Linked DNA regions of Macaca mulatta. The protein of the gene in region 2 purifies or fractionates together with the protein of the main gene of each other region. This does not show direct contact. Links are inferred from orthologs where the notes say so. Each region holds a gene or a part of one and is shown on either strand. Other genes may lie near its edges. The genes, in order: ASF1A, NASP, HAT1 and ASF1B.

Region 1 (4,135 bases), on a different chromosome or scaffold from region 2:
CTTCCCCACTCTAACTGGTCTTCCTAAATGTAGGAGGGGCTGACATTAGCTGTCTCACATTAACTTTCAAAAGACCATCAGATGAAAACGTTTCATCAAAAGCCACCTACTTAAGTATGAACAATGCCCAAAGAATGACAAATCAACATTCTGGGCACTATCCTAAGAGAAAACTCTTCCAGAGCAGATACTTCAGAATTAATTTTCTCTCTGAATTTGGCCAAGTTTGGTGGTTTCATTCACAACATTTAAGGAAAAAAGTGACGGTTTATGGATAGCAGGTAATAAAAACAAATCTTTATACCACTTACTAGTAATAGAAACGGTTTAGGCTCACAAATGTGTTAAAGCTTTCTCTTTCCCCGCAATGGTAGTCAAACAGCATAAACGAATCAACATTTCCTCAGTTCAGATCTCAACTGGTTACAGGCAAGCAAGGGCTCCTCAGAATTTGCTTTACTAATGGTTTAGGTCAGAAATTTTTTTGAAGATCAAATGTCTTGCTATGTCTTCGTGTTCTTTTCCCCATCTCTATTATGTGTGTTGCCCTGTTGGTCTCCTGACACTTCCATTTTCTCCTTTTATGTTCCTGCTATGCTCTCCCAATGGCAGTAACCTAGGGTATAACTGATCACACCTCTTGTGATTTTTTTCTTATTCTAGGACTTTCCAGATCTGGACTCCGAAGAAGACGCCCAGGTGTAAGCCCAAAGGTTACCTATTTAAATTTTCCAAGCACAGTGTGTGGAAAATCATTCCTCGCCCTTCATTTTGTGTTGCTTAACGGCGCTGTCGTGCCTAAACGTAGATACTGGCCAAGAGCTAGATTTCCAAAATGGCTTTGCTCCTTTCGAGCTGACATCGGTCTATAACATGCAATTTATTTCCCCTGCAGGCAATCTTTTTCTCTACTCCAACTACTACCCGATACACAGAAAGCTGAACCTAACCCAGTGTAAACACCGATTCTCATCTGCTAAATTCAGCAAGGCCGGCAAAGCTGTTGCAATGATGTAAAAAGAGCGTTAAAAAATTAAAAAAAAAAAAAAAAACACAAAAAACCACAAAAAAACAAAAAACGCCAAAACACCCACACGAAGCCAACCGGAGGGGCGGGCGTCGGCCGAATCGCGCCCTCCCGCCGCGGCCACGCCTCCCCGCCGCGGCCACGCCCCCGCCGCCCCTCTCCGCGCCGCCGCCGGCGGCCTCCGCGCGGGCCTCCCAGCCCTTATTCCACTCACTTTGTTCTCCGCCTTTGTCCTAATCCACACCAGCAGGTGGAGCCGCAGTTAAAGTTTCCGAGTCCATTCCGGGAGCGGGAGCCCATCTTGCTGGCTGCCGAGGCCCTCGCTGGAGGAGGAGGGTCAGAGCTCGGGTGCAGCCAATCGAGGGCAACGCTGCTACTTATCAGAGCAGAATGGGCTGTAGTTTAGTGAAATAGGAAAGCTGCAAAACACTGTGGAGTGCTCCCGTGTAAATAAAAAGAGGAAAAAAAAAGTTTCTCAAGTCGCCGCTGCACAACGTCGGGCCGGCGCTGGGGCGGGGGTCTGCGCTCTCCCGAGCGGCCGCGCGCTGGACTTTATTGTGCCGCAACCAGCCCCAGTTCCCATTGTTTGTGTTTTTTTCAAAATATGGCAAAGGTTCAGGTGAACAATGTAGTGGTGCTGGATAACCCTTCTCCTTTCTACAACCCGTTCCAGTTCGAGATCACCTTCGAGTGCATCGAGGACCTGTCTGAAGGTGAGTGCGGCGCCCGTGCGCCCGGGCTGTCAGTTGCGGGCTGCAGACGTTGAAAGTTTCCCGGGCCCGGCCTCGCGCTGGGCGGCTGTGTTCGGCGCCTGGCGGCCGCGGGCTGCTCTGCGGAGGGAAACTTCAAGTTGATGGTCGACGGCCGCCGAGGCGCGCGCGGCTTTCCGCCGCAGCCCAGGCGCCTGCCGGGCTCAACTTGCGAGGAACTTGTTTGAGCGGAGGAAGCCATGTTGTCAGCTTTGTCTGCGGGCGGGCAGCTCGGAGACCCGCACTCGCGCCCGCGGCGCCTCCTGGGGTCGCGCCGGGCTGGCTTAGCGCCGCCAACAGCTTCCGCGACCCTCCGGGCCCGGGCACGGAGGCTGGGAAGGGAGAGGCTGTGCGTGTGGTCGCGCCGGCGAGTTCGGAGCGGAGCCATCTTACCCCAGTCGAGAATTGGGCCAGCGACCCCGGCGCACGGCGCCTCTTCTTGCCCCTTCGCCCGCCTGCCCCCGGCGAAAGGGAGGCAGTAACTCTCGAGAGCTCACGGTGGAGTCGCCGCACTCTCCGGGCTGGCCATGCCTGGCCGCTTCGGGGAGGAGAGCGAGGCTGTCCTCGCGCTGATTTCTGGCTTCCTCGACCAACCAGCGGGGGAGGCGGGCGCAGGCTCGGCCCCTCCGCGCCGCGGGCTGGGCGCCGGCACTCCCCGGGGGCCGCGGGTCCTGTTCGGCCGGTCCTCTTCGGCCGGTGCCCGGGATGCGCCGGGATGCTGGCGCGCAGGCTCCCCAACCAACGTGGACTCCTTTCCCCTAATGACGAAAAGCTAATCTCAGGAAGAGAGAGAGAGCTGAGCTAGGAAGTTACATTTAACCTAAGAGCAGAAATAAGATACTTAAATAATTTCCAGGACTTAATCTCTGCCTTCTAAATAGTCTGAAAGAAGACTTTCTTCAAGAGCGTGTTGAAATGTAAAATAACTCCACATCCAGATGCAGAACACACCCTAAACATAAAACACAAACGTAGGCTAGGAAATTAAGGTAAACAACTCATGTCAGTCCAAGAATTCCTGGTATTTTTTCTACATATATTTTAAGGTCTTAAAAATACGTATTCTTAATATGTTTAGTAATAAATATTTAGAAAGCTAAAACAACAATTATCTTTGCTTTAATTATATTTTACTAAAGTAATTCAGTACTTCATTTGCCAGTTTTGAAGGGGAAATAGTTTAACTTCATCGATGAGGGGCATACTTCTTTGAACTAGAAGTGTATTTTTAAAATGCTCTGAAGATGATTTGGCTAATCGTGGCATGTAAAACTTTTCATTTTAAAAACTAGTTTTTAATCTCTAAAATGTATGTATCATATGTAAGGTTAATTTTAATTATAAAACAATATATATCATTGTAATAAACTTTTAGAAAGTTGTACAGGCATATATAAAGTTAACAGTTCTCTGTACTCAATGCCTTCCCCTATCTCCTTTAGGTAATCACAATTACTACTTTAACATGTGCCCCTCTGTGGGGTTTTTTTTTTTTTTTTTTTTTTTTTTGGTAAACCTATATAGAGTATAAATGCACATACATATATAGGGCAAATTTTGAAAGATGATTCATTTATTAAAATAATTTCAAATAGGCCATTGATAACACTTAGGGGTATTTTTCTTATTACTCTGAAGTCATCTGTATGATACTACTATTAATATAAGCATTGCAGCTACCAGGCCCATTTTTCACACCCAACAGTCAGTAATTTTTTTTTTTTTTTATTGCCAACTGCATATAAAAATAGACAAAAGAAAAACCATTGATCGGTCCATTCCAACTTACACCACAGTGTTTTTCAAGTATACCACCAGAAGTTCTTCAAATTACAGGTATTTCTCAAGTGATGCCTTCCATTTTAGGAGTCAGCTCTGAACAAAGAAGATAGATGACTCAGGATGTCGTTACAGGGCTTTTACATTGCATAGATGAAACCAGCCATTCATAAAGCCAAAACAGGTTCCATTTTTAACTGGGATCCATTCAGAACCCAGCTGAATCACATCAGGGTTTTACAGTACTGGTATCAAAAATATACTTATTTCCAATGGTATATTTCACTTCCTAGGCACCATTACTGAGCATTTATTTAGTATTTTAAAAAATATTTTAAGCTGAGTCATACTGAAGCTGCAAAGGAATCTTTCAAAAAGGTGCCATGCCTGTATACTCCACCTAGAGGCTATGTGGATTAAGGAAATTGAGTTTACTTAGCAAAGGCTTCTTATAGGTTCCATACTTTTATATTATAGTTCTTTTAAAAATTCTGTTCTTAAACTATAGAATTTTTTTTTTTTTTTAAATGAGACAGTCTGGCTCTGGCACTCAGGCTGGATGGAGTGCAGTGGTGCAAAC
Region 2 (3,563 bases):
ACCCCTATTGAACCACAGACTTCTATAGAAAGACTGACAGAAACAAAAGATGGCTCAGGACTAGAGGAGAAGGTCAGGGCAAAGCTGGTTCCTAGTCAGGAGGAGACTAAGCTGTCTGTAGAAGAGTCTGAGGCAGCTGGAGATGGGGTTGATACCAAGGTAGCCCAGGGAGCTACTGAGAAATCAACTGAAGACAAAGTTCAGATAGCTGCTAATGAAGAGACACAAGAGAGAGAAGAACAGATGAAAGAGGGTGAAGGTAACCGGGATATGCAAGAGCTGCAGTGGGTGGAGTACATTCTGGATTTGACTCACTAATTATGGGTAAAAGTCAGCCTTCCATTCAGGATTTTCCGTCTGCCTTTGGATTAGGAAAGGGCTAAATGCAAAGGGGGGTAGTTTAACAAGGTTGTGCTAGTCAAGTAAGTTAAATCAAAAGCAGCAAGTGTTCTTTAGTTGGCTTATAAACTAACATTTTTACTAACTGCAAAATAGGCCTTCTTTGTGATTTCTGAGACTTGGCTAGCTATCAGTAACTTGTTGCATCATACTAGCCAATAAAGTGGGATGGAAAAGGTAGATGAGGGGTGGGGTAGGTAGGGAAATAGTGGGCTAGTAGGCTGGCAGAGAATGCTGAATGGATGTTCACTTGCATGCCTCTGGATTTTAAAATTTATTGTTCACATGACTCCTTTTCTGTGTGTTAGGAAGCAGGAACAGAGCAGTAGAATCCACTGAATTGGTACACTGAAGCAGGCATGCCATTTAAATGAAGATAGTTAACCTTGACTGTTGTATCACCAGAGTTAAAGAACTCTGGTGCTCCTCTCTACCTTTAAGTCTTCAGGAAGTGTTTAGAGGCTTATTCACATTAGTTAAAACAGGCCCCCCACCACCTTCCCCAAGGCAACAAAAAACAGAACGCATTAGCTCTCTTGCTGCTTTCCTTCCTCATTTCATGCTTGCTTCGGCTGCTAAACTGAACTTTTTGTTACTTAGAATATTATAAAGCGTGGATGCTTTCTATAATGCTATTGGTCTAATTGTGATTAAATTTCATTAAGATGTATAAGCCTCTAATTACTACATAACTGGCAAGTCTGACTTTTGCTATCATTTGAGGATTCTACTGTATATAAGGTTCATCTAACATTGGCATTAATAACCACAGGTATATTCCAACTAATGGTTACTTCTTGTAATTGCCAGACTACTTCGAGTTCTCTTCAGTTTTAGATTTTCAGAGACCCATCTTCAATACTTTGAGCTCATTCTTGTAAACTTCCTTCCACTATGTGCAGGTCCCTGTACTCCAGCCAGCACAGGCTCAGTAACTGGAAATGAATTGGCTAAAATGGTAGCACCATTGGGTTTCTTTTCTTTATGGAAAAAAGCACAGAACTAAATTCCTAAAAAAAACAAACAAACAAACAAAAAAAACACCAAAACCCAAAACAAAACTCCCATGTCTTGATCTTAATGATTGTGAGCAAGCTCTGCTGACTGGCTCCTAAGACCTTGAATGGTAAGCTACGATAGATATGTCATAGTAGGATCATAATTAACATTGTTAGAGCTCTCTCACATATATTACATCTGATCCTAAAACAATACTATGTGGTAGGTAGTAGTGCCCAAGTTATAGTGATGAGGTTGAAGTTTAAAGGTTACATGACTTGTTTAGGGGTCATAGTACTGAATCCAAACCAAGATCTGCCTTGAATATATTATTCTTCCCAAGTTACCACACATCAAAGAAGACAGTGTTCATCCCTTTCCTACACTCAGTTAGAAATTTTGTTGTGGGCTGGGTGCAGTGGCTCACGCCTGTAATCCCAGCACTTTGGGAGACTGAGGTGGGCGGATCACCTGGTCAGGAGTTTGAGACCAGCCTGGCCAGTATGGTGAAACTCCGACTCTATTAAAAATACAAAAGTTAGCCGGACATGGTGGCATGTGCCTGTGGTCCCAGCTACTCAGGAGGCTGAACGAGAAGAATGGCTTGAACCCGGGAGGCAGAGGTTGCAGTGAGCCGAGATCATGCCACTGCACTCCAGCCTGGGCAACACAGCAAGTCTCTGTCTCAAAAAAAAAAAAAAAACAAAAAAAAAACACCAAAAAGAAATTTTGTCACTTATTTTAAAAATTAACTATATTTGAAAAGCCCCAGGCTTTTCATATGCTGCATCTTTTGGTGTTGTATATCAAGTATTGTTCTGCTTGTAAAGACAATACAGTTTTCCGTACTTTACAAAAGAAGAAATGGGAGAAAGAGGTTTAAGTAATTTACCCTAGTCACACAGTAAGGAGAAGGCTGGGTACCCAAACTTCTGGCTCGAGTACTCAACCACTTTCTGTGTTTTATTTTCCTTTATGTGGCAGCACCATTCTGCAGAAATCTTCCAAGCAGTTTTTTCACTTAAAAATTAAAACCCTATTTACTGCCACCTCTTGACTCTTTGCCATGTGTTGGACTGTACATTTCCTTCTAATAAAGATAATTGGCCTGTTCCTTTTCTTTTTGAATCGGGTCTTGCTCTTTTGCCAGGCTGGAGTGCAGTGGCATGACAGTCATGGCTCACTATAGCCTCAAACTCCTATGCCGAAGCCATCCTCCTGCCTCAGCCTCTCAGGCAGCTGAGACTGCAGGTGTGCACCACCACGCCCAGCTGGGGTGCAATGGTGCAATCTCAGCTAACTGCAACCTCCACCCCCCAGGTTCAAGCATTTCTCCTACCTCAGCCTCCCGAGTAGCTGGGACCACAGACACATGTCCCCAGGCCTGACTAATTTTTTTGTATTTTTAGTAGAGATGGAATTTCACCGTGTTGACCAGGTTGGTCTCGAACTCCTGACCTCAGGTGATCCACTAGCCTCAGCCTCCCAGAGCGCTGGGATTACAGGTGTAAACCATAGCACCTGGCCCACCATACACCATTATCTTTTCTTTTTTTTCTTTTTCTTTTTCCTTTCTTTTTTTTTTTTTTTTGAGACAGAGTCTCGCTCTGTAGCCCAGGCTGGAGTGCAGTGGCCGGATCTCAGCTCACTGCAAGCTCTGCCTCCCGGGTTTATGCCATTCTCCTGCCTCAGCCTCCCGAGTAGCTGGGACTACAGGCACCCGCCACCTCGCCCGGCTAGTTTTTTTTTTTTGTATTTCTTAGTAGAGACGGGGTTTCACCATGTTAGCTAGGATGGTCTCGATCTCCTGACCTCATGATCCGCCCGTCTCGGCCTCCCAAAGTGCTGGGATTACAGGCTTGAGCCACCGCGCCCGGCCCACCATTATCTTTTCATATCCAAATTTCCAAGTGGGTCTGGGCTTAGTTCCCCAAAGTTAGACCAGATGGGTGGTTTTATTAACTCCGCCCATCCTCTAGCAGAATACACAGAAAAGCTGAAGTAGATTTACATATTTAGGATAATTGACAGAAAAGTAAATACTTCATCTTCCCAATGTGTAGGAAAAATTAAATTGATATTGTTATCTTCTATTCCTATCTGGTATCTCTTCCTACTCATACCAGAACGCTAGAAGACAACCTCTAATTTGAAACAAAGTATCT
Region 3 (3,563 bases), on a different chromosome or scaffold from region 2:
AGACATTTTTTAGAAAGGCTCTTTCAGTAACAAATCAAATTTTACATACCTGTAATATCAAGAACTGTAGGAAATTCAGTGTAGTATCTATGAACTGTTTCAAGAAGCTGAGCACCATGGCCTTGACCTTGAAATGGAGTCAAAATCAGCATCTGACTACAGTAAAGAAATTATTTTAAAATTAAAATATCATAACATGACCAGTTTAAAACTTGCAAATCACTATAGTATTACAAACACTTTAAAGTTTGTGTGATCTTTTTTCAATCCACCTTTGAGATACCCAAAAATTATCAGGATACTCAAAATTAGTTTAATCTTCTACACTGTTTCAAAGGGAACAATGAAATAAATCAGTACATAGTCCATGAATAATAGTGATTTTTTTTTTAAACAAATCAACACTATTATAACAAGTATTGGAAACTTCAGCAGTTCCTTCTGCTGAAATAAAAGACAAGGCACGTGTTATACTGCCAATTACCTTACACGTGGCCGGGTTTTGTCTGGGTACACATAGTAATTATAGACTGTCATGTAGCCTACGGTCGCAAAAAGCGTAGCTCCATCCTTATTATACTTCTCAAATCTGCAGATAAAACAGAAAGCCAAGCAGGTCAATTACAGTCGCGCTCCCATGCAGTGTCCATTTTCTTTTCCATTCTCTGACTGAATTTTCAGTGTCAGCAAGCTACTCTGTGAGGGCCCAATGGGTACACCTGCTATGTTCTGAATGTACAATTCACTTAATTGGTGTGCAGCAACTTGGATAAATCAGACCTCTTTACATCACTTCAGTGCACTTGCCTATTATAAAGATGAATAGGTGGCAAGTAAAAGAAAACACAGGCAAAGCTCATTTTACTGTTTAAGCCTACATTCAGGGCCCTAACGGACAACAGCATTTAATTCAGCTCTATTCTCAAGGTCTCCCAAAGCATAATGAAGGAAAACTCAAGCCTCATAAACAATAGTTTTTCTTTCCTGGGAAAAATATCATTATACTGTCCCAATAATTGGGCTGCCACAATTAAAATGCTGGCTTTGTGGAGGTAATAAGGTCTACTGTTGCTTTAGAACTGTACTTACACTAGAAAGTAGTGCCATCTTTCATCATCCACGTCAATAAAGCTAGCAGTTTCAATAAACCACATCAAAAAGGTCTGAAGCCTTTCATGATACTCTCGAAAGCCTCTACATGTCATGTCGGCCTAGGGAAAAAGCCAGGAAAAGTCAGGTGAAACTCATCACAAAGGTAAGTGAAAGTCTGCAGAACACAAAATTATCCTGTGGGAAAATGTTTAGAAGTCTCAGATTAAGATGTGGACACAGACACAGACATACACACAAAATAGATCTTTGTTTATAATGCTGATTAAAACTTGTTTACTGCAGTTAGAATAAATCACTGACAACAAAACTACATACAGGTTTCAGGCAAAAAGAACTTTACTCAATAAATATTTAGATTTATCTTTACCTTATATATCTGAAAGGTAAAGTTTTCTCCTCCTGTTGGACTGAGAACTGAGTAGGTATGAAGTAAGGTTCCGAATGGCTTGAAATCAACTTCTTTTTCCAGTAAAGAAAGGAAATCATTTGTGTTTGTGCAAAATCCAGGTGGAATGATTTGTCTAATTTTGCCCTCAACATCATCTGCCTAAAAAATAAAGGATATAAAAAATCAATAACAAATTCAACTTTAAGTTGAATATGGTTACTTTCTTTAAAACTGACAAAACCAACACAAATTATAAAATTTTGGTTGAAAACTAAAGAAGTAAACACACAGTGAACTGGAAAAGGATGAGCTTCCTGTGCACAAACTACATCACACAAAACTGAGATAAGCATAACATAAAAGTAAATAAGAGAAGGCAGGTAATCTGATACCAAGTACAATAATAAGGGCAATGCTATGGACGTTTCTGTTATGTAGAAAATGCTGACTATACCCCTTCATGACAGTCTGAACTGGCCAAGGCAAAAGGCTGCTTATTATTTTATATGTGTCAAAGAAATCATATTATCCAAGACATGAAAAGATCACCAGAGGTAGTGAGATGAGGCTAGAGTCAGACCAAATGAATAGCAATCTCACAACTAGATGGGTCACAATTCCCTCATATGCCAAACTCAAACTAAGATGATAATTTTAAAATATACCTATTTAGGAAATAACATAAATTATATGAATGCATATATCATTCTTTCATCCTTAGAATGTGACACAATTCTTAGAGACCTGGATTTGTGACAGTAAAAAAGAGACAAGACTGGACAACAAAACTAAACTTGGAGATTAAAATTACCCTTAACAACCTCTATCAATGTTATCAGCTGAGCAGACTTCATAATCCTTTTCAAAATCCCAAAAGACCACTTGATTGAATACATTTACTACTTCTCTTTAACCATGAATATTTGATGAAGTCTTACAATAAAGTATTGCTGCTTCTCACCAGGCAATAAAACTTAATGAATTGGTCTCAACTTAACAAAACCTTATCCCTCAATACAGTCCCTAAAAGCCTGACATTACATTCAACAAAATGAGCTTGTATTCTATTCAAACTTTTTCCTGAACAATGAGGCCAGGTTTTTACTTAATGGAGTTTGCCGTGAGTTCAGCTGTAATGTTTGTATTGTATCTATTTCCACAAGGACTGACACAAGAACACTTTGTGTTAACTTACTAAGCAGCTCTTTCATACCGTTTACATGCATGATGGGTATTAGTTCTAAACCAAGACCCTTGCTACTTAGCATTCAAAACAGGGAAATTAAGATGCTTAGGACAAAATACACTACAAAAGGCTAATACAACATGCTACTAATTCCTGTCCTTTCAACCATCTTTTAACTAAGTAGAGGCAATGCACCTGCAGATGAATAGCACTTTATTATGATTCAGTTACATTTTAGGATAGAGAACCAGGGATGACGTTTATCACAAACAAGTTTTATTTTCAATGCTCTGGTACCACCAACATGTATATATAATTTGTTTATAGCTATAAAAAAAGACCTATTATTGAAAATATAGCTCTTCAGCATTTTGCCCAACAGTTTATTTCTAATATGTACATCAGTCCTTACAACTCATTCACACTCGAGATCAAATAAACTGCATTTCATAGGACCGTTTTTGTTTATTTTTAAAGTACTATTTGATAAATATTTTTCCTTGCAATTGCTAACGTGAAGAGGCCATCTTAAGCATATTTTATAGAATCAGTACAATTTCAACCACTATCAAGGAAACTGTCATAATGAGGGATAGCTGTAATAGGTATGCTGTGTAGCAATTAAAATCCAAAGTAGTGATGAGTAAAACAGTATAGCATAATGTTAGTTAAGGTTTTTAAAAAGTCAAGGAAAACTACTTTTAAAAAGAGATTTATAATCTATCAGTTTAAAAATCACTTTAAGACTTTCATAGCATGTATAATTTTAACTTTTAAAAACTTTCCTTATGTCCTGTCTTCTCAAGAAGGCATTACAAATCATTTTACATATCTTGCATCAAATCTACTTCAAAGATTTCTCAGAAACTCTAAGTT
Region 4 (4,349 bases), on a different chromosome or scaffold from region 2:
GCCTGGGAGCTGGGAATCCCTCAACCTATTACTTCCTTCCATTTCCTCCTGGCTTTTAAATTAAATCTTATTCCACAGTGTCATTCTACACTTTATTTATTTATTTACACGCTGCCCTGTTCCAGAAAGGATTTAACTCGGCTTATTCTATAGTTAGCCACAAGTAGACTGCTTAATTTAAAAAGGAGCAAGACAGACCGGGGAGAGAGAGACCCACTGGCCTACCCGAAGCACATCCACATCTCACTCTATCAGCCCCAAGCTAGTCCAGGTGACCAGCTTTGAGGGCCAAACACCCACCTGCCCCCGAAAGGCACTAGTTAGCACATCCTGGCTTCACAGGCCCCCAGATCGCTACCTCCTCGGCTACTGCCTTTTCTCTTTTAACCACCAAGTAGAAAAATGGCCTAATGGAGTACTTCTTTCTGAAAGCAGGACTTGCATTTTAGTGGTGCCAAGGCTCCCTGGGTGACCTTAGATTTTGGATTTGTACAGGCCTTGACTTGAAAGGTCTTTTGCGCTTTGTGGCTCCTGTCTTCTCATCTGTGAGATGAGAGCCATGTCCACCTTTAAGTCACACAGATTAACAAGTACATCTGCAGAAGCACCTTGGAAAAGATGTACAGGAGGCTGTGACCTCCGGGCTCCAGGTGACTGTTTGAAGCTGGAGCCTGTCACAGCTCAGCCCAACCCACTCACCCTCCAGACTAGGTCAGACCATCAAAAGCAATGGAAGCTTGGCACTGATTATCCAGCTATATTAAAAAAAAAAAAGAAAAAAAAAAAAGACCGGGCGCGGTGGCTCACGCCTGTAATCCCAGCACTTTGGGAAACCAAGGTGGGTGGATCACTTGAGATCAGGACTTCGAGACCAGCCTGGCTAATGTGGTGAAACCCTGCCTCCAACTAAAAATACTAAAATTAACCGGGCATGGTGACAGGTGCTGGTAGTCCCAGCTACTCGGGAGGCTGAGGCAGGAGAATTGCTGAGATCGTGCCACTGCATTTCAGCCTGGGCAACAGAGCAAGAGTCTGTCTCAAAAAAAAAAAAAAAGAAAAAAGAAAAAAAAGAAGAAAGAAAAAGCGAGGGAAGAACTGCTGTAGTAACTCAGTTGGAAATGGGTGGGCAAACCTGGAGAAGCAGCTAATACCTGCCTGGCTATGCCAGCCCTCAGATCTCAGTGTGTTTATCCAAGTCCACAGAAGAGGGTGGGGAAGGGGAGCTGGGGAGACCAAGTTCCCCTCAAAGACGGTAGCATCCTTTCCCAGGGGGAGCTCAAGCATAGCAGGGGTTGGGCCCCAACGAAGGAGGAACCAGGTTCCAGGGTATGTGCAATGGCAGAAAAGCAACAGCAACTGGTGCGGGTGGGGTTGTTGAAATATTGGCAGGTTGGGGAGGGGATTGGTGGGAGACAAATGGGAAGATGGGGGCGAGGGCGGTCCTGAAAAGGGGTTGAGGGGTTTTCACAGCGAAAAACGGTTACTGGTGGGGAGCGTCTTCACGGTGAGGAGGGAAAGGAGCTTGCGTGAGAGATCTCCATAGGGAAAATAGCAGATGGCTAGGATTTCCCCCGGGGAAAATGGGAAGGGGCTGGACATTCGGAGTCTCCAGAGGGAAAATGGGAGGTGTGAGTATCTCACTAAAGAGGGAATAAGTGGGCAAAAATGGGTGGGTGGCTAAAGCGCGGGTCTTGCCACAGGGAAATCACGGTGGCTGAAGATCTCCGTGGCTTAAGAAATGGAGGCCAAGAAGATCTCTCCATGAAAACGGGTACCTAGGAAGACCTCCAGATTAAAAAGATGGATGAGGTTTCCCACGCGGGAAGTGGGGCTTGACTGGGGTTAATCTTTATGGGGAGGTCGGGGCGGGCAGTGGGGGAAGAGGTCACGGGGAGGTCCGAGTTAGCTAGCTGGGGGTCTCCACCCGGGAGGTCAAGGCGGGCAGTGGGAGAGGAGGTCACGGGGAGGTCCGAGTTGGCTGATGGCGGGGAGTCTCCACCCGGAGATCGGGATTGGCGGAAAGGGGACGAGGGGTTTCATGGGGGAGATCAAGTTGGCCATGGGAGCGCTTCTCCAAGGGGAGGCCGGGGTCGGCCCGGGGGTGGGGGTCCCCGCACGGGCCCAGCCTCACCGTCCGCCAGGGCTTCACTGCACTCGAAGCTGATCTCGAACCGGAAGGGGCTGTGGAAAGGGCTCGGGTTCTCCAGGACCGCCACGTTCAGCACCGACACCTTGGCCATCGCCTCGCCTCGCCTCGCCTCGCCGCGCCGCGCCGCGCCGCAGCAGGGGCAGGGGCAGGGGCAGGGCTGTGGCTGTGGCGGAGGCCGCGCCTGGGTCCGGTGAGTGGGGGGGCGTCAGTGGGGTACGGCAGACCAAGTCCACTCCCGCCTCTTCCCTCCGCGGACTGAAGTGCGCACCTAAACCGCGGACCGCCTTCAAATAGCCGGCCTCCGCCCTCTGGCCAATCACCGCCAACGCTCCCCTGGCGGCGCGCGCACCCCCTCAGCCAATCCTGGAGCGCCAGTCGGCGCGCGCCCAGACTCCCCGGACCAATCAGCGGAGCTCCCTCTCCGCGGCGTGTGAGGAGGGCGAAACCATCTCCAGGCTTCTTAGCGTGTCCGCTGGGAACCAATCCCCAGCGTCTCCGACTCGGATGTCAACGGCGGGAGTGGACGGAGTCAGAGCGCCGGACTCCTTCTGCCCAATCCTGAGGGTTCCCGCACCGGCGTAGCCCGCCCCTCGCCTCGCTTTTCCGGGAGCTGCATCCCGCACCGCGCAGCGCCGCCAACCGCCGAGCGGTGGCGCGCGGCGCTCGCTAAAGAAGGCGGGAAGGGCGGTGCTCGCACCCTCAGTGATTGGCAGGAGGGAGTGGGGCGGAGATAAAGAGGGTTTTCTGAGAGTTGATTGGCTGGATTGGTAATAGTGCCGGGAGCAGAATGAGGCTCAGCTGGGGATTCGCTGGAGAGAAGCGGAAGTCGAGCGCCGCCGCGGTGCTGGCGAGTGTGAAAAAAGAGGAGGAGGGTTGCGCCCTCAGCGTCTGTCAACAGGTGAGCGTAGTCTGGAGCTTTTCTGAGTGGCTCCTGACCCTTGAGGTCCAGCGGCCCTGGAGTCCGTTGTGAACGTTGCGAACGTTCGGAGTGGCGGTCACGCGGCGCGCTGGGACCTCGGGAGTCCAGCCCGGTTCGGATCCCGCTTTCGCCCACGAGGGGTTCGAATCCCGCTCTCGCCCCCGAGGGGTTTGGATCCCGCTCTCGCCCCCTCAAGGGCTCTTGGAAGGTTTCAAGCAGACGGTACTGAAAATGGGAGTTTCAGTTCGGGGGCAGACCAGTGTTCGAGTCCGGGCTCTGCTACTCAGCTCCTGAGGCAGCGTCTCTCCATTCAACGGGGGCAGTGGCAATTCCCTGACATGATTCATGACCGCACAATACATCCGGAAACTTCTCTCCGCCGCATCCCGTCGCCCCCGGCCTGGGAGACTCCAGGTCGCAGAGTCTCTGCCCCCACGGGCGATCAGCTCTACCCAGTGGAAAAATAATGCCAGCCGCGCACCTAATTTTACATTTTTTGGAAACCACTTTTTTTTTCTTTGAGACGGAATCTCGCTCTGTCACCCAGGCTGGAGTGCAATAGCGCGATCTCGGCTCACTGCAACCTCCACCTCCCGGGTTCAAGCGATTCTCCTGCCTCAGCCTCCTGAGTATCTGGGATTACAGGTGACCACCACCACAACCAGCTAAATTTTTTTCTGTATTTTTAGTAGAGACCGGGTTTCACCTTGTTGGCCAGGCTGGTCTCAAACGCCTGATCTCAAGTGATCCGCCCGCCTTGATCTTCCAGAGTGCTGGGTTTACAGGCATGAGCCACTGTACCCAGCCATATCTTTTTTTTTTTAATTTAAGATTTACTTTTTTTTTTTTTTTTTTGAGACGGAGTCTCGCTCTGTCGCCCGGGCTGGAGTGCAGTGGCCGGATCTCAGCTCACTGCAAGTTCCGCCTCCCGGGTTTACGCCATTCTCCTGCCTCAGCCTCCCGAGTAGCTGGGACTACAGGCGCCCGCCCCTGCGCCCGGCTAATTTTTTCTATTTTTAGTAGAGACGGGGTTTCACCATGGTCTCGATCTCCTGACCTTGTGATCTGCCCACCTCGGCCTCCCAAAGTGCTGGGATTACAGGCGTGAGCCACCACGCCCGGCCTAGTTTTTTTTTTTTTGTATTTTTTAGTAGAGACGGGGTTTCACCGTGTTAGCCAGGATGGTCTCGATCTCCTGACCTCGTGATCCGCCCGTCTCAGCCTCCCAAAGTGCTGGGATTACAGGCTTGAGCCACCGCGCCCGGCCAAGATTTACTTTTT

The links.
Region 1: the proteins of NASP (region 2) and ASF1A purify together in Homo sapiens (affinity purification with mass spectrometry; 6 studies listed by BioGRID and IntAct, counting the BioPlex papers as one, with this or other methods). This does not show direct contact. The link is inferred for Macaca mulatta from reciprocal best matches to the Homo sapiens genes NASP and ASF1A.
Region 3: the proteins of NASP (region 2) and HAT1 purify together in Homo sapiens (affinity purification with mass spectrometry; 3 studies listed by BioGRID and IntAct, with this or other methods). This does not show direct contact. The link is inferred for Macaca mulatta from reciprocal best matches to the Homo sapiens genes NASP and HAT1.
Region 4: the proteins of NASP (region 2) and ASF1B purify together in Homo sapiens (affinity purification with mass spectrometry; 5 studies listed by BioGRID and IntAct, counting the BioPlex papers as one, with this or other methods). This does not show direct contact. The link is inferred for Macaca mulatta from reciprocal best matches to the Homo sapiens genes NASP and ASF1B.

What each region holds. Positions count from the first base shown.
Region 1 is NC_133409.1:23,859,227-23,863,361, forward strand, and holds the start of ASF1A (histone chaperone ASF1A), read left to right. Parts: upstream 1-1,291; 5' UTR 1,292-1,631; coding exon 1,632-1,740; intron 1,741-4,135. UniProt on the Homo sapiens protein: Histone chaperone that facilitates histone deposition and histone exchange and removal during nucleosome assembly and disassembly.
Region 2 is NC_133406.1:194,999,395-195,002,957, reverse strand, and holds part of NASP (nuclear autoantigenic sperm protein), read left to right. Parts: coding exon 1-259; exon of another isoform or gene 260-385; intron 386-3,563. UniProt on the Homo sapiens protein: Component of the histone chaperone network. Binds and stabilizes histone H3-H4 not bound to chromatin to maintain a soluble reservoir and modulate degradation by chaperone-mediated autophagy.
Region 3 is NC_133417.1:76,881,711-76,885,273, reverse strand, and holds part of HAT1 (histone acetyltransferase type B catalytic subunit), read right to left. Parts: intron 1,661-3,563; coding exon 1,481-1,660; intron 1,212-1,480; coding exon 1,090-1,211; intron 590-1,089; coding exon 485-589; intron 157-484; coding exon 50-156; intron 1-49. UniProt on the Homo sapiens protein: Histone acetyltransferase that plays a role in different biological processes including cell cycle progression, glucose metabolism, histone production or DNA damage repair. Coordinates histone production and acetylation via H4 promoter binding.
Region 4 is NC_133424.1:14,721,827-14,726,175, forward strand, and holds the start of ASF1B (histone chaperone ASF1B), read right to left. Parts: upstream 2,854-4,349; 5' UTR 2,241-2,853; coding exon 2,132-2,240; exon of another isoform or gene 2,032-2,131; intron 789-2,031; exon of another isoform or gene 1-788. UniProt on the Homo sapiens protein: Histone chaperone that facilitates histone deposition and histone exchange and removal during nucleosome assembly and disassembly. Cooperates with chromatin assembly factor 1 (CAF-1) to promote replication-dependent chromatin assembly.